Caenorhabditis elegans: one gene and its partners. The protein of the gene in region 4 purifies or fractionates together with the protein of the main gene of each other region. This does not show direct contact. Each region holds a gene or a part of one and is shown on either strand. Other genes may lie near its edges.

What was found.
Region 1: the proteins of C11D2.3 (region 4) and idha-1 fractionate together in Caenorhabditis elegans (co-fractionation; one large-scale study listed by BioGRID). This does not show direct contact.
Region 2: the proteins of C11D2.3 (region 4) and K10D3.4 fractionate together in Caenorhabditis elegans (co-fractionation; one large-scale study listed by BioGRID). This does not show direct contact.
Region 3: the proteins of C11D2.3 (region 4) and glb-4 fractionate together in Caenorhabditis elegans (co-fractionation; one large-scale study listed by BioGRID). This does not show direct contact.

The regions. Positions count from the first base shown.
Region 1 is NC_003279.8:8,606,003-8,610,478, reverse strand, and holds idha-1 (putative isocitrate dehydrogenase [NAD] subunit alpha, mitochondrial), read left to right. Parts: upstream 1-1,847; 5' UTR 1,848-1,855; coding exon 1,856-1,924; intron 1,925-1,967; coding exon 1,968-2,042; intron 2,043-2,088; coding exon 2,089-2,193; intron 2,194-2,240; coding exon 2,241-2,447; intron 2,448-2,493; coding exon 2,494-2,617; intron 2,618-2,661; coding exon 2,662-2,744; intron 2,745-2,807; coding exon 2,808-2,980; intron 2,981-3,261; coding exon 3,262-3,355; intron 3,356-3,402; coding exon 3,403-3,549; 3' UTR 3,550-3,930; downstream 3,931-4,476. Other genes in the region: lmd-1 (LysM domain-containing protein), read right to left, coding at 30-122, 172-319, 369-548; F43G9.13 (Vesicle transport protein), read right to left, coding at 3,947-4,039, 4,102-4,181, 4,228-4,312.
Region 2 is NC_003279.8:7,134,214-7,141,966, forward strand, and holds K10D3.4 (BPTI/Kunitz inhibitor domain-containing protein), read right to left. Parts: upstream 5,761-7,753; 5' UTR 5,459-5,760; coding exon 5,281-5,458; exon of another isoform or gene 4,269-5,280; intron 4,000-4,268; coding exon 3,496-3,999; intron 3,277-3,495; coding exon 3,127-3,276; intron 3,038-3,126; coding exon 2,807-3,037; intron 2,754-2,806; coding exon 1,590-2,753; intron 1,520-1,589; coding exon 1,343-1,519; intron 1,296-1,342; coding exon 1,046-1,295; intron 991-1,045; coding exon 876-990; 3' UTR 525-875; downstream 1-524. Other genes in the region: hpo-11 (Protein kinase domain-containing protein), read right to left, coding at 6,065-6,188, 6,240-6,343, 6,697-6,820, 7,395-7,753.
Region 3 is NC_003280.10:11,109,070-11,112,964, forward strand, and holds glb-4 (GLOBIN domain-containing protein), read right to left. Parts: upstream 2,139-3,895; 5' UTR 2,101-2,138; coding exon 1,994-2,100; intron 1,949-1,993; coding exon 1,736-1,948; intron 1,689-1,735; coding exon 1,581-1,688; intron 1,531-1,580; coding exon 1,366-1,530; intron 1,320-1,365; coding exon 1,234-1,319; intron 954-1,233; coding exon 803-953; intron 749-802; coding exon 544-748; 3' UTR 502-543; downstream 1-501. Other genes in the region: apc-1 (Anaphase-promoting complex subunit 1), read left to right, coding at 1-65, 351-497, 3,681-3,768.
Region 4 is NC_003282.8:6,150,205-6,155,225, reverse strand, and holds C11D2.3 (BLOC-1-related complex subunit 5), read right to left. Parts: upstream 3,414-5,021; 5' UTR 3,324-3,413; intron 3,273-3,323; 5' UTR 2,790-3,272; coding exon 2,771-2,789; intron 2,707-2,770; coding exon 2,597-2,706; intron 2,408-2,596; coding exon 2,232-2,407; intron 2,183-2,231; exon of another isoform or gene 2,162-2,182; intron 1,887-2,161; exon of another isoform or gene 1,862-1,886; intron 1,493-1,861; coding exon 1,412-1,492; intron 1,001-1,411; coding exon 803-1,000; intron 757-802; coding exon 603-756; 3' UTR 549-602; downstream 1-548. Other genes in the region: C11D2.7 (PUA domain-containing protein), read left to right, coding at 1-170, 238-504.

The DNA of each region.
Region 1 (4,476 bases), on a different chromosome or scaffold from region 4:
TTTAATAATTTTTATTAACTTTTATTCACCTATGTTAGTATCAGTTTTATGGAAAATATCCTCGACACTGGGATCTCGTGAGCCTCGATCTTCTCGCAGAAGTGCAGTTCTGTCATCAATATCTGTAAATCTTTAGAAATTAAAGCTTTATCTCAGCAAAAAAAAACTAACCAATAAGAATTTCGTCTTCTTCGTCTTGGCTTAAAGCCGATTGTACGCCTAACGCCATTCTCATTCGGCTAACTGGAATTTTCACTTTTGAAAGTGCCATAAAATCTTGCTCGGATACCATATTATTCACTCGTTTTATTTCGGCTACCTGAAAAATATTGCAAATAAAATATTTTATTGAAACCGACAGAACTCACATTTACTTGATATTTTATTGCCAATTTATTGAGTGTATCGCCGTTTTTTACTTTTCTTTCAATAAAAACTACATCCTTGTATGTGGGCATATCGTTTTGGAAACCTTCACTCGATGAAGTCCTTGCTGCACGACTTCTCATTGCAAATTGCTCCACTGAGCTGCCTTCTTTCATTGCCATTTTACTGAAAATTAAATAAATAAAAATAAAATGTATTTTTCGAAGTTGTCAAAATCCACGAGACACTTAAAAACATCGTGTATAAATCAGAGACGCAGACACAAGTACAGTAATTTTGAAGGCGCCTATCTCGAAACCATAAAATGTGTCCTAACGCGCGTGTGGATTTACGGGCGGAACAGAATCAGCCTTCGAAACGTTAAACTTGTTCAATCCTGTTTTTTTTTATTTTTCTGTATTATTGTAATGATTTTGCCTTTTTTCAGCAAGTAAATTGATAAAACAACACCTTTTACTAAATTTTCTTACATTTGACACATAAACAGCTTTAAAACGCTTAACAACGAAACAATTTCACTAAATAAAAATTTTAACGTTTCAGAGAATGTAAAACTATCGGTTTAATCTATTTTCAGAGTTTCAGCGAACTTAATAATAATCAAGTTTTTTTGCGAAAAAATATATCCAAAATTTGACAAATTATGTCACATTTTCAGATGAATTCCTCATTAAAAATTAAAAGAAAATAGGAAAACGTACCCATGGGTGCACCTTTAACGTCAACGTTTAAACAAGATTAAATAAATACTTTAAAAAAGTGTCCTAGAAGAATGTTATAGTTTTTCACTAATTTATTTTTTAAAACTTGATTAAAACGGAAGAAGCTTCGAAAATCTTCTTTATAATGCATTAATGTCTTATCTCTCAAATTACGCATTAATTGTACGATATCAAGTGAAAGAGAAAGTCAGATGATAGTACATTTAGTACAGTTTTTCACCAAAAATTATGTGTTCCATTATTTAGTTTACATACGTGGTATAATTTTAAATAATCAATAAAAACTGAAATCCACGTCGCAGGATGCCGTAGCTACAGGTGCAAAGAGATTATATCTGGCTAGCTGTTTCCACGCAGCGGGACGCTGCGACAAACGCACGCAAGGATCCGGAAGAAAAAGAGAAACGAAACAGAAAAAAACAATATGCAATGTGTCTATTGTATACCCGTCTCGCACCCTCCATTTGCTTTTCTATTTTTCAACTGGCTTTTGCTGGCCGCCCTTTCCAATGATCGATAAATTGCGCTCTACCGAACACCTCGGCTGCCCTGCTACCGCCCTTTTCCTTGGCTCTTTAATTTAAGGCTTAACATATTTTATTAATGATTCCTGATGTTAAATTTTGATTTTCCAAAATATGATCGTCTAGATAGTCTCAAAAAATGTGCATCGTAAATACTTTTTCATTTTCTTTCTCGCTCAATTTTTCCTTCCATCTCAAATATTTTTGTTTCCAGGGTTCAGAATGCTTGGCAAGTGCATCAAAAAGGCGTCGTCTACCGTCGGACAATCCATCAGATACAGCTCCGGAGACGTAAGAAACCTCGAAACTTTATAAAAAAGCCAGTTTTGTTCAGGTTCGCCGTGTCACTTTAATTCCAGGAGACGGAATTGGGCCGGAAATTTCAGCTTCTGTACAGAAGATTTTTGAGGTGAATTTTCAATTATTTCGTGTGTCTTACATCATGTTATTTCTAGGCCGCCGATGCCCCGATTGCTTGGGACCCAGTTGATGTGACTCCAGTTAAGGGACGCGATGGAGTCTTCCGTATTCCAAGTCGTTGCATCGAGCTTATGCACGCGGTTAGTTTGAAAATTGTACATTTATTTCTGATTGTTACGTTTTTCAGAACAAAGTTGGACTTAAAGGACCACTCGAGACCCCAATTGGAAAAGGACACAGATCTTTGAATTTGGCTGTGAGAAAAGAGTTTAGCCTTTACGCCAACGTTCGTCCATGCCGTTCCCTTGAAGGACACAAGACATTGTACGACAATGTCGATGTTGTCACAATTCGTGAGAACACAGAGGGAGAGTACTCTGGAATTGAGCACGAGGTATATTAAATTAAATAATAAATGTATCACCTAATAATTGTTTCAGATTGTCCCGGGAGTTGTTCAATCTATCAAGCTTATTACTGAAACTGCTTCTCGCAATGTCGCCAGCTTCGCCTTCGAGTATGCTCGTCAAAATGGGCGCAAAGTTGTGACTGCTGTCCACAAAGGTAATATAAATTGAAAAAGAAAATTAAAACAATTATTTTTACAGCCAACATTATGAGACAATCCGACGGTTTGTTTTTGTCCATCTGCCGCGAGCAAGCTGCCCTCTACCCAGATATCAAGTTCAAGGTATGAATAATAGAATTTAAAGAAAAACCACTTCCTGTTAAAATTTATAATCTATAATTTTAGGAAGCCTACCTCGACACAGTTTGCTTGAACATGGTCCAGGATCCATCACAATACGATGTTCTTGTCATGCCAAACTTGTATGGAGACATTCTTTCCGATTTGTGCGCTGGTCTTGTTGGAGGACTCGGAGTCACCCCATCTGGAAATATTGGAAAAGGAGCCGCCGTATTTGAGTATGTTTTTTGTTAAAAAATGCTTTGACAAATGAAATGAACTCAGTTTAGAATTTTTGTTAATTTCTGAAATTTCAGATAAACACATAGAAGTGAAATCGAAAGCAAAAAATACGAAATTATAAAAGTAGGAAATACTAAAAAAGTTGAATTTGATGAAATCTTGCATTTTTTTAATCTTCTCAATAAAATTTAAATCTAATTTTTTTTAACCTGAAAACTTTATTTTATAGCGAAATACAATTTTTTATTCAAACAAAACTTACCAAATTTCTTTACAGATCCGTTCACGGAACCGCCCCAGATATTGCTGGACAAGACAAAGCAAACCCAACTGCTCTTCTTCTATCTGCCGTCATGATGCTCCGTTACATGGTTTTTATATCGTAGTCGGTCTAAAAATTTTACAAGCTCATTTTCAGAACCTTCCACAACACGCTGCTCGTATCGAAAAGGCTGTATTTGATGCAATTGCTGATGGACGTGCCAAAACTGGAGATCTCGGAGGTACTGGAACTTGCTCTTCATTCACCGCTGATGTTTGTGCCCGTGTTAAAGACCTCGAATAAATGCTCAATGCTACTTCCCCTTCTATTTTCTTTTTCTTATTGTAAACAGGCTGTTAGACACTAAAACACTTTGATGATTAGTAATGATTTAATGACACCTTTTTTCGGTTTTCAATTTTGTATAGATTACCCACCAGTCCATCCCGCGTCCTTAATCGCTTTACTCCTATCCCATTGGCATGAACCACAAAATCGTTCGATAAGTCTTCTCTGATTCACTCGCATAACTATAAGCACCCCGAGACTTTTGTTTTTTCTTCTTCTACACCATCTTTCGATTCCCATTATTTCTGTTCATTTCTGGAAATTTTTATATGGTTTTTTCTTTTCGAGATTTTATAGACAAAGAAACTAAAAAAATTTATTAAAGCAATCGTTTCTACATAATCACAATAAGTTACAGCGTCGCGTGGATTCGGGTTACAGAAGTCACGAAAATCAGAAGAGTTTGAATGATACCCATTATTGCACAATACCAAGTGCTCACAGCCTGAAAAATGTTTTTTCCCTCAACTTTTTAACTTCTTGAAAAGTAAATTTTTTTTAACGTACATTTTTCGAAGCGTACATTGCCAGTGCGAGAACCATTGACGTAGGAGCACCAAAAACGAAAGGAATGATGAACATCATTACTGAAAAGTTGAAATTATGAAAAAAAAAAGATTTTCAGAATCTTACTGATAAATGGAATTGGAATAAAGCAAACGTATGGATGTTTTCGAAGAGTGAAAAGGGAAAGAATTGTGGCTCCGAGACTAATTACCTGGAACAATTGAAACATAAAAAATAGTTTCTGAATAAAATATGTCATATTACCCGTAGCAAATTATGCCAAAGAATACAGACCCCAGTTTCGACACGACTAATATACTTGTTGAGTGCATGGTGTGCGTTCATCTGTTTTTATCGTTATTTATTTTTGTTTTT
Region 2 (7,753 bases), on a different chromosome or scaffold from region 4:
GTGTTTTTTTGTTTATATTGTTATTTCATCGATCTCTATTGTGACAAAGTTGTCTATATTTTTGGTTTATATTGGAAATGAATCATTGGAAGTGGTAAATGATTTCTATACTTCCATAAAAATAACCTTCCAATCCACATAAACTTGAATTAGAAAAATGCCGGGGTACTGTAGATTGAATCTGGTCTCCTCTCAAAAATGATTGTGATGGTTATCGTTTTTCTCAAAAACATTTGAATCAACACCTAATTTAAAAAATCTAAATTCATTTTAAAAAACGAATGAATTCGTACACGAAGTCTTGAAAAAGGAAACGCGGGCACCAAAAAAAATTTTCGATTTCTGTAATTTTCCCCCAGTAGAGTTCTACTTGAGCAAAGTAAAAGTGGAACATTTCTAGATAAGAAAAATGCTCACGAGTTGAGTATGATCTTCTAACCATCTTGATATTTTAACTTTTCAATAATAACTTTTTACACTTTAAACATGGCAGCCTTCTGATTTCACATAATGGGAAACTTAGAATTGGAAATTTCGTTTTATTTCAAAAGAAGAAAACTCAAAACATAGCTAAAAATAGCAATACGATTGACGTCAAAACAGAACTTTGAAAATATAGATTTCTGATTTTCAGGCTCTTTTTGGCATCGATTTTTTCCAGTTACATGGAAAAACAATGAGAGGAAAATGAACAATTGATAGAGGAAAAACAGACAACCGTACAGTGTAAGTTATGCAGAAAAATTATTTGTTTGGTGGGGAATACACATGTACGTGGGAATGAGATGGCGAAAAAGTCAAGAAAAAACATCAAAAAATAAATGAAAGAATTTAGAAATTTTAGAGAACAAAGTCGTGAACCCCGGAGCTCTTGTTTAACTCTTTCCATTTCCCAACTGAACTCTGCAACAGATGAATCCATTGTCATTGCCCGTGTAAAGACATGCTGAGTTGTCTGGACAAGATTGTGGAGTTCCAGCACGAGCATATCTAAAATTATACAAAATTGAAAACCATTCAATTTTTCAAATCAAATTTCACTTACGGATTGCACGTCCTATAGTTTCCAGCCAACTCGACTGGAACCAAATTAGCTGGTTGTGGTGGGCAAACATTCGGCAATCGAACATCTGACTCAAGTCCACAACAGATATATCTTTCCAAATTAGTGGAGAATTGGCAATGTCTGTTGGCTCCACAACCCTGGATGGCGTCATTGAGTGGAGCTGATGGAGAGCAGTATTTGTACTGGGCTCCGTTTTCTCCTGGTACAGGAACAAGTTGTGGTGGGCAGTCTAAAAGAAAATGACTAAATTATGAGGGTTAACTCGAAGATACTTACATCCTGTATCAACAGAGTCTGGGGATCTGCAGCAGTAGAAAGCATTGACTGATGTTGTTGTAGTTGAGAACCAGCAGAAGAAGTTTCCAGGGCAAGCTCCATCAACATTTGGAGTACATTGCATTGGTTGAAGTGAGAGAGCAGAAATGAATGGAGTTGAAGCAGCAGGGCAGAGAGCTGGAAATTAATTTTTGGAATTTTGAAAGATAAAAAGTATGTTTAAGAAGCTGTAATTAAAAAAACTAACATTGAAGTTCAGTCGAAGCTCCGCAGCAAACATTCTGATCAAGAAGTGGTGAAGAATAACAAGTGTAACCATCGGGACAACCACCGGAAACTCTTCCATTTCCACCTGGATTTGAGCATTGAACAAGTCTGCTTCCATCTCCATCCTTGGCAACAACAGTTCCTGGTGGACAGGCTTCCGAAAGACAATAGTTTTGACAAGACTTTTGAGAAGCAAAGTTATTGCGATTTCCTTCACATCCATTATATTCAAATGTTTGGCATGTCTTTGAATCAGCATTGAAGTACCATCTGGAGATTCTTGTGCTAGAACATCTAACTCCGACGTCACGTGGTTGAGAGCATACGAAATTCTTTGATGGACAGCAGAGACTCTTTGTTTGGTAAACGGTTCCAGTCCATGTGGTAACTGGTGTACAGTAATGAGTAGATGGGCATTGTCGGTTAGTTGTACAAGCACGTGCTGCTCCATTCTGCTCCTTCCATACTTCTCCTCCATCTGGACATGATTCAACTCTACAGTAATCCTTACAATCTTGTTGAGTGGCAAAGTTATTAGAGTTTCCATCACAACCATTGAAAGAGTATGTCTGACAAGTTCTAGTTGTAGAATCATAATACCAACGAGTGACAGCTGGTCCACAAGATGCTCCAGATTTGTAAGACAATGAACAAGTGTAAGCTTGAGTTGGACAACATCCATAGGTGGTTCCATCATAATAACAGTAATGATTAGCTGGACAGGTGGTAGAAGCAGCTGAAGATCCTCCACAGATAATGAAGTTTCCGTTGGAATCAGTAAGAGCGGTTCCTTGAATACATTGTGGCTCACTGCGAGCATCTCTACAGTAATCTTGGCATTCTTTGTACGTTTCGAAGTTATTAGCATTTCCTTGACATCCAGAATAGATAAACTCTTCGCAGTTTCCGGTTTTAGCATTGAACCACCAACGATTGGAATATGTTCCACAGTTACCTTGTTCTCTTGGCAACTTGCACACGTACTGCGGACGTGGACAACAGACTCCTCCGAAAGTAGTTGAGCCAGAAGTAGACTCACAGGAGTGAGTAGATGGACATGAGTTGGCTCCAGAACCAGTTGGTGAGCATTCCATGTTGCGTTCTCCAGATGAATCCTTGAGTGGTTCTCCAGCAGAACAGAGAACTGAAATATACATGTTTAAAGTTAAAATTCTTCAAAGAAAACAGTTTCCTTACTTCTTGAGCAGAATTTCTCACAGTGATCTTGAGAAAGGAAGTTGTTAAAGTTTCCTCCCTGTCCGAGATACGAGAATTGAATACAACGTCCTTCTCGCGAATCGTAGTAGAATCTTGGCGAAGTGTTTCCAGAACCATCTGGGATTCCGACATCAAAGTATTCGGTTGGTAGACCTCCGGCTGTATTGTAGACTTCTGATGGAATTCCTCCATTTCGAGAGCAGATGAACACTAAAAATTTAAATTAATAAGTACCATCTTGAATATTCAAAGGTTTTATTCTCTTAATATCAAAATTCGGTAAACTCTCATAAACTTACAGTAAGTTGGACAACATTGTTGAAGAGTTCCCATGGTTGTACATTGATAGTTCGGGTTGTTACATCCATTGTCATTTCCTTGACAATAAACTGGCTCTTGTTTGACTCCAGTTGTACGGTCACGATACAATGGAAGACCGCGGTTACAGGCTGAACAGTTTTAATTTTAAAGTAGAATTTGACTTTTTCAAATTGGAAGTTGTTAAACACGGTTAATTTTCTATGTGTCCGTCAGCAACCTCACACTATTGGCATGGTGGTAGGACGATTCACATATAGACTATTAAACTGAGTCTACTGTGCTCATTGAGGCTATATGTATACATCGCAAATTAACCATATAATTTCATTCAATAAATATAAACTCACTTTGTTTACAGTAAGACTCGCAATGATCCTTTGTCTGGAAGTTGTTGGCATTTCCACCGTATCCTTGATATTTGAGCTCTCTACATTCTCCGGTAATTGGGTCATGGTACCAATGATTCAAAGTAGTACCACCACCTGGTGGAGTGTATCCTTCATTTGGTGGTTGAATACAAGCAAATGCACGTGATGGACAACAGAAACTGATAGGATTGTTGACGGTACAATCATCAGAATCACAAATACAATCGTATGAAAGAGCTCCAATAGCTTCACACGTGGCATCGGCTCCTCCGTAGCACTGTTGAACTTGGTTTTCAATGCGGAACTTTGGATTATTTCCGTTAAGTGGACAGAATCCATAGTTGAGACACACAAGACCATCACGAGTACGGAATGGTGGTTGATTGTTGGCACATCGACATTCTCCTGATCTACAGTATGCACCTGGCCAAACGGCTTCACATTGTCGATTTTGTGTACATCCAGACTCTCCCGGATTGATTTCTAAATATATTATTTCATTTCAATTGAAGAAAATTAGTAAAAATTTCAACTACATTGCAGTTTTCACTTATGACTCAAGAAATGGAAAATTGGAAATTTATTTTTCGTGCGAAACGAGTTTATTGAGTTTAAATCCTCACTTTTCAACATTTGTTTGTTACAAATTGTTTCGTAAAAACTGTATCATAAAGGGTCAAATTGCTTAAAAACGTTTACTGATGTACCAAAAAAACGATTTAGGTGTTAGTTTGAAAGATTGAGAAAGTGAATAATCAATTCATAATTTATTTATGCATCAAAGAAGAAAATGGTTCACAAGGAAGGTAAGAAAAGAGAAAATAAGAGAAAAGCAGTCGGTGGCAAAATAAGTTAGGCTTATATATGTGTGTGTGCTTGCGCTGGTGGCATTTTTGTGACTCAAATTTTGCAGAAACGACAACTAAAATCGGATGAGGAGAAAAAAGTTAAAAGAGCAACCCGCCAGGATGGAGAACAACAACCCAGCAAAACGACGACGATAAGCAATGAAACGAAACAATAAAAAATAATGTTGATGAGCATCCGTGTTGGTTCTGGATGTTTCGTTTTGACAAGAGAAGAAAATAGAAGGACCTAGGGTATACTAAAAACACGGGAGACGAGGATAACAGCGCGAGATAAAACGAATCAGGATACTAAATTCTTTGTATGGCATTATTCGTTGGAAGATACATAGAATCACAATTTAAAATGCCATACATAGTATTTGCCAAAATAAAAAGAATATAGATTGTGAGAAACAAAGAAGAAAGTCTAAAGGGATGGGGCCACGATATGAGCTTAGGAGAACAAACTGGATGGGGAACGAAGACGCCGGGAGTTTTCGGTTCGTTGTGCCAAGAGATCTCATTTTAGAAGTTGGCACGACCCGAGCAACTCACGGCGGATATCGGGTAAAAACCTAGAAATTTTGGAGCCCGTGTTACGGGAATCGTTGTAGGGAATCTAGACGTTTTCGATGCCATTTTCACATAGATAAAAAGGAAACGAAGAATTGAAATGAAAGTTTGATGGGACTATGAAGGGGAAAAACGGAAAAGTGCCTAACATGAAAAAACGCATGCATTCAACATGAATACACAAATGTACGTGAAATATGAATAATGATGAAAACGACAAGAAGAATGTGAATTAAAGTTAGAAAGCGAGAAGGCGAGAAGCTAGCACAGCGAGAATGGGGGAAGGTGATCAGTATGGGGATCTACAGTAATCTCGTTTCTCTTTATTTTATCAAATACTTACTTCTCCAGCAATAAGAATCAATCTCGACATATGTCGTCAGACAGGCACATCGCTTATTTCCAGCACAATAATTTCCGGTTCCGCAATCTGTGGAGACCTCACAAGGCCGTCCTACGGTTCCGTGTTGGGCACGGACCGCGATAGCGGCAAGCAGCAACAGAGCCGCTAATTTAAGCATTGTGCTCGCTTATCGTTTGTTGAAAACTGCTATATCACAGTGATCAATAGGGAATAATGGGGGGAGTGAGTGGGGGGACAAACGATTTGTCGGGCGTTTGACCGTGTCCGTCGTCTCTTCGCACGACCGCAAATACCACTACCAAATATCTTAGAAGGGGCCGAGAGTCAGTCAACACGAACAGACAAACCTCTATACAGCACACAGTCACCGTCAACCCGTCGACTATGGACTTGGTGGTGCTCACGGCGGTGGCTCCGAGACCCGCCCAGTCGTTGCTCTATTACTTCCTGGGCGGAACTGTCGTCCCATCTTTCTTGAGCGCGATCTCTCTCACAATATCGAAATGGTTAATTCTCGGTAAACAAATGCGCACAGAGCTCTCGCAGTTAGTGAATAAGAGAACCTAGACATACCGATTGACCCATATTGAACTATTCAAAGAGAAAAGAGTTAATAGAAAAAGATCCCCATCTAATCACCAGAAATGGTTAAAGGAACAAGAGGAAACTGGACAAAAACAGAGAAAAACTGTAACAGGAAATATAATACGGGGATGTGGGGAGGGATGGAGGGATGGAGATGATTGGAAACAGAAATTGAAGACTAGGAAGATGTTGTTGTTGTTGGTGTTTGAGATGAAGGAGCAACCGAATCAACAATTGGTTTTACCGAATTCGTTATCGAGCTTGAAGTACCGTTTTCAATTGGAGCCTCAGAGTTTGACTCTCTGAAAAATTAATTTTTAAAAAGTTTTTCAAAACTTCATTTTGAAATTTACCTCGTTGATGTTTCATTCTCCTCTTCCTGAACACCTTCTGCAATACGAGCAGCACGAATATCAAAAGCCACTGCAATTGCTTTTTCGACTCCTTCCGAATCCAGCTGAAATTAAAGTTTTGATATTTATGTGTTTTTTGAAGTGTTTGGTTTATTCTCTCTTCTTCTCATATTATCATTTTCAACGCGCATGTTTGTTAGCTATGTGTCGAGTGACCATCAGCGTGCGCTAGCGCTATAGAGGATAAGCATCATTATGAGCAACTCGATAGACCAAGAAAAAAAGGTCACCCCCCCCCCCCCCCATCATCCAACGTGCAGTGTGTTTGCCGGTGTCCTTATTTGTTGAGAAAGCCGTAAGAGTCTCTCTATCAGCAGATTATCCTTTTCTGCATTCTCCACTTAGAGTGAGCGAAGAGAAGAAAAGTTTAAGGGAGAACGCCAACAAAGTCACTCACCTGACACATAAAACCGTGTGTAATCAGATTTTCAGTCAAAGTTTCTGGATTGTCACCCTTGTTGATCGACGTTGTTAATTGCCGATGCATTTGATCTTCTAATAGAAGAACAATTGACATTTCTCTGAAAATTAATTTGTTAATGTAAATAATTACATCAGGTTTCATCAGATGCGAACTTTGCACTTTTTTCCTCTAATATACGATACCCGGTCTCGACACGACAATTGTTTTCGCAAATTCAGAAAAGTGGGTGCCTTTAAAGAATACTGTAGTTTTAAAATCTAGTTGCTTCGGAATTTCCATCGATTTTCATAGTTTTCCGATAAAAATATATTTATGTATTTGAAAAATATATAATATACAAAGTTAGTAACTTTCGTTCAAACTTCTACAAAATTTTCATCAAAATTTCATAGTTTTTATCTTGGTTTTGTCCAAATTTAAATTGTTGTACTTTTATATTTATTTTTTAAATATTTAAACTTTTCATCAAAAAACTATGAAAAGTCTATTGTAATTCCGAAGCAAATACGTTTTAAAACTACAGTACTCTTTAAAGGCGCGCGCCTTTTCGCATTTAACATTAAATTTTTCGTGTCGAGACCCGAATCATCAAATTTCGGGTCTTATTTAAAATTCTATCAGGAAAGGGTGAACTGATTCAGGAAGTATACTTTGAAAGAAAAGAAACGTACTCATTTTCAATATGCACATTGATCTCCAAAATGTGTCTATTTTCTAACCGCATATCTCTCTCCCCATTTGGTTCTCCTTCTTCTTCCGGAGTCGGTGATCCAGCATCACGCCCATTTGATGATCCTATTGTAACATTTGCTCCATTGACTTCAACTTCGACTTTACTCGTTGATTCCGTACTCGTAACTTCACCGATTTTCTTATCAACTGCTTCAGGACTTGCTGATTTACCGATGGAAGATGGTCCATTTGTATTAGTTGTTGTACCACTTGGCTGTGATGATTGACCAGGTAAACTAGTATTAACTGATGTTTCTGCAGTGATTGTTGAGTTGGCTGAAGGATGCGTTGATGAAGG
Region 3 (3,895 bases), on a different chromosome or scaffold from region 4:
GAGTTTGGCGCCGAATTCTGCCGGCAGAACTACGCATTTTGATCCGACACTCAACTCTCCCGCCGGTAATTTTTGAAAACTTGAGCTTTTGGATAAATATATTATTCGTATTGTATCAGACATTCAAATCGTCAATATTTAGTTAATTTACAGTGATTTAAGTTAAAAACCAAAAAAACCTCGTTTCGAACAGGAAATAATTCGATTTTCCCCAAAAACTACTAAAAAAATCAAATGTTAAATTAGAAAGAGTTGTGATTAAAAACTAAAAAATAAATATTTTCAATTATGATATAGTGTGGAAGTCCGAGTTAATTTATATTCAACAAAAAATCATAATTATTTTCCAGAAAATGTGCTCTCCGAAGTGATCAGCTCGGAAATTGATAGCCGCTCACCGTTCACTCCTCATCTGCGATCCGGTTTTGGACATTCTACTCCAAACAACCCGAACGCTCCAGGCTACCCTGCAACACTTCCAACACCGAATTTTGAAGGTAATTTTTTTTTTTAATTCATAAAAATTTATTAGCACCATTAACCTCAAGTCGTGGGCGATCGTGCACGATGATGATGATCAAAATTTAAAAGTGTTATGCTTCGCCGTTGCTGATGCGCTCGTCCTGGCACTCGATTCTGTTTGACTTGATCTTCGAGGGGGCTCAATTGAGACGTCAACTTGAGCAGTTGAATGTCGCAATTATTTAGAAGAATTGACGGGTTGTTGGGAGAAGACATACGGCGGTTTCTGAAAATACGTGAAGTGAGAATTATAGCTGATGTCCGTCAAATTGTTACATACCGTAGTGCTGTGAAGTCTTGGCTATTCCTTTGAAGAGCTCCACCCGCGCGGAACATACTTCTTCGTCGATATGGAGTAATTGGAGATGATGGCTGAGTTGTTGTAGTCGTCGAGTTGCTCTCTGTTGAGCCAAGAAGAGCACACATTGGAGCTAGATTTGAGTAAATTAGAATATGAATTTAGCCAACAGAAACCAACAACAAAAAAACTATAAAACGAAAAGCACACGGCACACAGCAAACCTAGAAGTTAGTGTATTTATTGTTATATATATATATATATATACGTGGTGAGAAGGAAAGTGTAGAAGCGAACAAAATCAACTGAAGAATATCGAGAAAACTATCTAAGTGATCTACGAGGTGGTGGTGGGCGGTGTTTAGATGATGGTGAGCTACGACACGAATGTGAATGATGAACTTGAGACGCACCGATTGCCGGCGACATGTTCGGTTCGAGAAAATGGGAGGCGGATCGGGAACGTGATGAACGCATCGATGCCATTGAGATTATCGAGCTGGAATGTTTAGATTTTTTTGTGGAAGATATGGAAGAGCACTTACTTTGTAATGCTTAACCGAAGAGGTGTCTTTTCACTTGCACATCCCTCATATCCTCGTTTCATTGATTCGATTAACATGCAGGAAAACTGTCTCCAAGACTCACAAACTTCTTCTTCTTCACTTTTCTCCGCTGCCCTAGACCTTATTCTCAATATTCGCCGAATTCTGAAAACCAGTTGATTTCCCACCCGTGATGTAAATTGTCAAAAAGTTACTTGCTATCCTCTGTGACAACCCGCATGTACATTTTGCTCATGGCGATCGGAAGTTGTTGGGCAAACGGAGCCCAAAAGCAGTTGTCATTTCCCTCATTCATATAATGTCTATAAACATTTTTGTGAGTGTTGTCCCACCCACGCATATGACTAACCGATGGCGTGCTCCGAGACGGAAGGAAAGCGTCTTGATCATTTCTGGATCACATTTGTGAACTTTGATGAGTATGTTGAGAAAGTCACGAACTTGATTGATGATGTTGAGAAATTGAGCATTTTCCTTATAGGTAGCGTGCATAGTCTCTGGTAGATCAACAAGAGCCCATACCCATGTGGGTGTTAACTCGGCGGATTTGAGCCAAGCCTCACTGAAAACAATTGCTTTTCAGGAACAGTCTGAAAAAAGAGCTCACCTAATGGCATCACTCAGAAGCTGTGGATCGTGCGAGTTTATTGTATTCCACGTATGTACTACATGTTTTCGATGTGTAGATAGTTGACGAGCAGACTGATTGCCCATTTTGTTGCATAGTCCGGAAGATCTCTGATACACTGAAAATGAGCTTCATCATTAAGTATCTCATCTATCCTAACTGAGCCAATCGTAAAAGAACAGAATGAATCAAAGAATGGATTTTCTCTTTTCTATCTGTTTATAGCAACGGAAGCTTCAAAGAGAGTAGAAAGAGCACACAGTTGTTTAGCATGCTCTTTTCGCGAAGGTGAATAATGAATAATTATGGGTATTCGAATATGTTATGATGAGCTCACGAGGACGTAACATTATTCAAAGAAATAGCTGAAGAAGTTGTTTTTCAGACATTCTCGTCGAAGATGCAATTTTCACAGAAAAAAATTGAGAAAGGAAGTGCGTCGATCTTCTCAAAGATGATTATATAAAGAGAAGAAGGTCACTCATGTGATAGGAGGTTCAAAACAATGAAAATGCAGAGCCGATTTCTTTTTAAAATCGAGTAAAACTTGGAGCGGCCGCCCGACTTAACTAATAGCGTCCGGAATATGATAAATGGGGCGGCGTCTTGGTGCTTCAGCATTGCAAGATGAGACCAGCAGCAGATGTAAAAACAAAATACGTCCTCGACTAAATAAGAAAAATGATTGACAACGACGTCCGATGTGTTCTGGCAGCTATAAGGAAGAAAAAAGACGTGGGAGGGGAAGGAGGAGTCGAATTGCACACGATATTCTGAATTTCGTTCTGAAATTCGTCTCGAATGTGAACAAAAGTTCTACGATGAGAAAATCAAATTAGATTCGGGGGTGTCACCGCGACTGAACTCTGATTGACGAGAGAGCCTATTGACTAGAGAAGGAGATCTGTGAATGTGAAATTTGAAATCGAAACAATTTGATTATCTTCTCTTCTACGTCAAAAAGGCGTCCGATAGGCGTGAGAAGCACTCATGAAAATTGGAGAGGGAGACCCCCTTTTTCAAAAAAACTGAATTAGACTTTTGAATGAAACGGATATCAGATGAAGCTTTGAAACTTTTCGTGGACTAACTCTATAGAGATCTACAACGAGATTATTAGAGCAACAAGGCCTGATCTTGAAAACGGAGCTCTAAAGGAGCTCCAAACTAGATCAACCTAGCTGCTGCTGCTGCAAGAAATAGAGTCACACTTCCGGGCTGGAAATAGCAAAACTGGAAGAGTCGAGCAATTTGTTGTGTGGCGCCTCATATTCCACGTAAGGCCTGTTGAACATTGCCGCCGCCGAGTGTGCACACCGACAAAAGAGACTTTGTGTTGCTGCACATGTGAAATTGTAGATATGTATAGCCCTGAGGGCGTAAATCACATTTGCATTCGGTGCTCTTTTCGTTGTCGTCGCATCGCCAAAAGAATCTCTCTTTTAGAAGAACAAGGCGTGTACAGGAAAGACACAGAGATTAGTGTGAGCCATTGAAAGAAAAAAAGAGTTTGCTTCTGTTTTCATCCTCCTCTAGGCTCAGTCGCTGACCAGTAAATTTGTGTGTGTGTGTGCCAGATGAACCCGTGAATAGGTGATGAGGCCAATGAAGGCACAAAAATAAAAATGAGGAAGAATGAGAAAGTATGTACTTTTTTTTATTTCAGGCAACAATGACTCTCAAATATGGGCAACTACTCCGAATACGCCACGAGTTATTGCGAGAGGAGGTCTCGAACGGAATATACATACTAGGTACAGTTAATGAGAAATTTCGTTAAAGAAGGAGCACCTCGAAGGAAAAGAAAATTTCGGAAAAAAACCTGAATTTGCGAAGATCTAAAATATCGCCGAATTTTCTTCGATGCAGCAGCTGGAATAT
Region 4 (5,021 bases):
AGGAGATCCTCCCGAAAAAGGAGAATTTCAAAGTGATCAAATGCAAGGATCACATTGAATTGCTCGCCGATCATCTGGGTGTCGTGCGATTTGTTAAAACACGTAACACTGATTACATTCCAACTTTGAGAACACTTCACAAGTATCCATTCATTCTTCCACATCAACAGGTTGGTTATAAATTGATTATTTACCTGGTTCAACATTTCCATTTATTGATGAAAATTCAAATTTCAGGTCGACAAAGGTGCCATCAAATTCATCCTGAACGGATCTTCAATAATGTGTCCTGGATTAACATCGCCAGGAGCTAAACTCACTCCTCTCGTACCAAAGGATTCAGTGGTTGCTGTGATGGCTGAAGGAAAGCAACATGCGTTGGCAATTGGTTTGATGTCAATGAGCAGTGAGGAAATTCAATCTGTGAATAAAGGAAACGGAATTGAAAATCTTCATTATTTGAACGATGGGCTGTGGCACTTGGCTGAAAAATCGTTGAACTGATGTGCTCGAATTCCCGGTCGTCGTGCTCTTTATCAGACTTCCAATAATTTGAGATGATCTTTATTTTATATGTCCATTTTGGGATTTAATTTATATTTTCATGCACTTTCTTTTGTTGTATCTTTTCCTTTTCCATCTCGATTCTCATAAAATTTCCAAAGTTTTCCGTCGAGTTTCTTGATTCTCTTTTCTTCCCTTTCAATACGCCACGCTATTTCTTCCAGTTGAGATTCCTCATTTTTGCGAACTTGCCTGCAATTTCTCAACATCAGAGCGAAACAAAACAAACTTCACTTACTGATTCGCGTGATGAGTCTGTCGTAATGCGTGAAGTTGAGTTGTCAAGCTGCTCAACTTAAAGGCTTTCTCCGAGAAATCATCGACTAAAACCTGAAAAGAATTGTCCAGAGCACATTGATACTTCTCGGTTACTTCATTGCAAACAGCCAAGCATCCAAGAGCCTCACTGATTTTATTATTCTGCTGCTCAATGTTCCTGGAAAAATTATTTTTGCATTAAAGTACACATGAGCAAATATTATCTCGCTAGGTATTTGGCGGGAAAACTGAAAATTCGAGCGATTTCTAAATATAATTATTACCATTTTCTAATCATTCTCCGTCTATTTTGATGTGTTTCCTGCTGGCCTAAACATGCATTTATAACAATTAATTCGGCACGAAAATCATTTAACAAACAACAGAAAAAATAACAAAAATGTTTGATAGCTGACAAAATCGGCAAAACTAACTGAAAAGTTTAAATTTACAGTCTTGGCACCTAATACGAGACCCAACTGTGGGAGGCGGGGCGGTTTTAATTGGCTGTGGAGCGCGTTTCCACATCGATTTCAAAGGGAACATTCTGCTCCTTTGAAATCTCTTCTGCGTCCCCATAATAACTCACAATTCAATAGCATCAAGAAGTCCCCGCTTCTCGAAATAGTTTGTTCTCTGAGCATGTAGATTTCCCTGGATTTTCGCAAATCTAAATTGAAATTTCTGAAAAGAACTTTCTCAAACCAGGTACCGGATATCTCGTCGCGATACTACAGTAATCTACAGTTCATCATACTCCGGCAACAGTATGATCGCTATGAGATATTATCGAAAGAATACGATCGCACAATTTTCTCATAATTTATTTTTGATTTACCTTGTTGACTAGGCTCCTCCTCTTCCTTTGACAAGACAGCCACAACAAAATAACAACGGCAACAAGATCAACAGGTAGATCAAAAATATATTATGAGAAATTTGTGCGATCGTATTTTTTCGATAATATCAGGGAAGTGATTATGTTCAGTAATTTTTGTAATTTATAAATTTTGGAAGATTTCACAAAAGCTATTAAATAACTTTTTTGCGGGACAAGAGACTAATTGCAAATTTTTTAAAGCTTTTGTTTATCTCAACCGGTGAAACAGTGAAAAAGCTTATGAAACATTTGTGAATTTTTATACTTAAAATTCTCATCAATTCAATCTCACAACACGAATATGTGTAGAATTCGAAGCCGAAAAAAATATTTTTTTTAATTTAGCCGCCTTAAAAATTCCAAAGATAAATTCCAAGAATAGTCGCGGACTTCGTGATGAAAAAAAAAATTTACTGTTTCAGAACTTTAATATCTTTTCATATAATCAGGATAAAACATTCAACCACCATTTTTTGGAAGATCCTATAGAATACAAATCGAAAAAAATGTTGTTTAATAGTAAACTTACGAACTGAACGCTCTGCTCAAATAGTCAACATCGTCCATTTTTGGTTTTTCACTGATATAGTTTGAAAAATATTGATTATCAATGCACAATGACGGTGTAATTGTTGGAATCGGAGGAAGTGATGGTCCAGGATCAGATGGTATGGGTTCATCTTCAGAAGGGACAGAGGTTACTTTCTGTAATATGAAAAGTTTCTAGTTTTCCATAGATATTTTTAATTACTCATGTTGTGGTTATTCTTCACAATAAACAAAACATTCAAGCGGGTCTCACAGCGAAATAAATTTTTTAAATATTAAACATTAAGTTTTCAGTCAAAAAATGTACTGTTACGTTGAAATGTTACTATTATTCAGATAACTTACTTGACCTTGTTTCCCTTTTGACTGAATAGAAGGTAACTTCACATATGAGATCCTCCTCGTTGATTTCTGCCATCTCAGTGTTGATGAAGAAGCACCAGGTTTGTTAGAACCTTCAACAAAATTTAATTTTATCACAGGTCTAAAGAGAAAACGTAAGAAATATAACTTTCTTACCTGCAATCGATGGGAACATTGAAACTTTTGAAAAGCAAAAATAAACTCAAATTTTGAGCAACATTTTGAGCAGCAGTGAAAGGTTACTGAACCAGTTTCAAATTTTATTTAGTGTCATGGCATGGCTCTGGTTGAGTTGCAAAATTGTCCAGTGAACTGGAAGCATAATTGGCAGAAAATAAAGGCTTGAGTGGAAAAAAAAATTAAAAAGTCAGGGCCAAAAGTGATTATGAATACGGATTTTTTGAAATTGCACGTTCATATATGACGTCACGCCTCTGCACGCCACTTTAAAATTCACGTATTTAGACAGCTTCAGATACCCACCAAAATGAGAGACACAGTCTCCTCCCAGCTTCTTCCTCTGCAAAACACCGAACAACAATTTACAAAAACAACAATTTACAAAAAGTTGCCGGTGTAGGCATTAGGAAGACGAATATTAGGGCCAGGAAAACGTCCCGTTCTCATCAAAGGGGATGTCTAGTGAACAACAATAAAACTGAAAATATTCGAATAGATTAAATTTGGTATCATTTGGAGTTATTATTACTATAAATATGAAGTACTTGAATCACTACAATAGTCGCATAAAAACTGAGATATGAATAAGTCTTTTTACATTCAACAATTGAATGTCAAATTACCATTCAATATTTGCTTTCTGGACATTAACCATGCACTTTTATTCACTGTCATGAGTTTTCTCTCGTGATATTATTCACACAGCTTTTGTCCCTATCAAAAGAAATACGCGACTGTCACATTTATCTTTGTTTTGTCTATTTGCAAGTCAAATAAGTGTTCTACATTGATGCGCAGACACGAATGTTGGAATTAAACAGTTTTACAGAAAAATGGTTTACCTATAGGCTTACAGGCTATTATCTAGTCCTTGAAAATTAACGGCATCCAAGATTTTTATTCAGACAGGTTTTATGTTAAAGAGAAATAATCTTTTTTTGGGTCTATGTCTACTTTGAACATTGAAAACCTTTGAAAGGAAAGTTATATGGACCATACAAATAAAAACTTATTTTTTTTCTAATCATTGTAAGACAGGTCGTACAATTGGAAACAATTCGATTTCACCGCACCTATACCGTGAATATGAAACGATTTTCGATATTTTATAAACCCCTGAAAAGAAACGTGTGATTACTCAAATCGTTCAGCTCCCTCATTTTTTTTCCGATTTTGCCATTTTCTTACTTTAAATTTTAAAGTTTTGTTTCGTTTCACATTTTCCGCAAGGCTATAATTTTACGAGTGATCTACCCACATATTCAACTTCTTGATAAAAAATGTATTTTGAATTTGTTTTCTGTCCAATTGACCAATTTAAATGCTTGAAACTCCTATATACTTTGCAAAAAAAATTAATGTTTTTCATACATCATAAAACATATTCCAAACTCAGTTGAGAGTTAAATATAGAGTTGAATTTTGAATTGAGATCTGGAAAAATTTGACGTCAGAGGCATCTTCTTGACAAAACGTCGCAAGTTCATAGCAAATTTTTGCAATTTAGAAAATTAATTCAATAGAAATTTAAAAAATGGTCTGAAAATCTTTAGAAATTTGTTGAAAATTTAAAGTGCTCAACAGTAGTTGCAAGAGTACGCTAACAAATTGGACCGATTTGCCGAGTTCTTTTTTTGGGATTCTTGTTGAAAAATGATTGCCGCAAATTTAAGTGATTTGATCTTTGTGATACAGTAACCCAAGACATATGTCTACGTTACTGACAGCATTGATTTGCATATAGTGTATAGAATATGCACAGTCTGAAAATAGAACTATTTTCTTTGAACTTTGTAAATCAAATTTAATTATCCTTTAATTATTATTTTTTTTTAAATTATAATTTAAATCCCTGTAATTTTTGTCGGTTTCAAGAGTCCCATATTACCATTTACACGCTTTCTTTCAATTGTCCATAATTATTCATGAATTTTATTTTCTCCGCCCATTCGCTTTTGCCCACTATACTCAGTTGATGTTTCCATTTTCTTTTGTGGCTGTGCCCTCTTATCTTTTCTCTTATTGCCGTCCTCCTTCTCCACAGTCGCCTCTCTTTTTTTCTAATTTCGTTGTGTGTTTTTCAAATATTTTTGAATGTGATTTATGATTTTTGAGTTAATTTTCTTGAAAAAGAGGTGAGAGAGAAGGCATTTGGAGCATTTTTTTATGGGGATATTTTTTCGAAAATACTAAAAACCACTTATTTATTTAAACATTGTGCACCAAC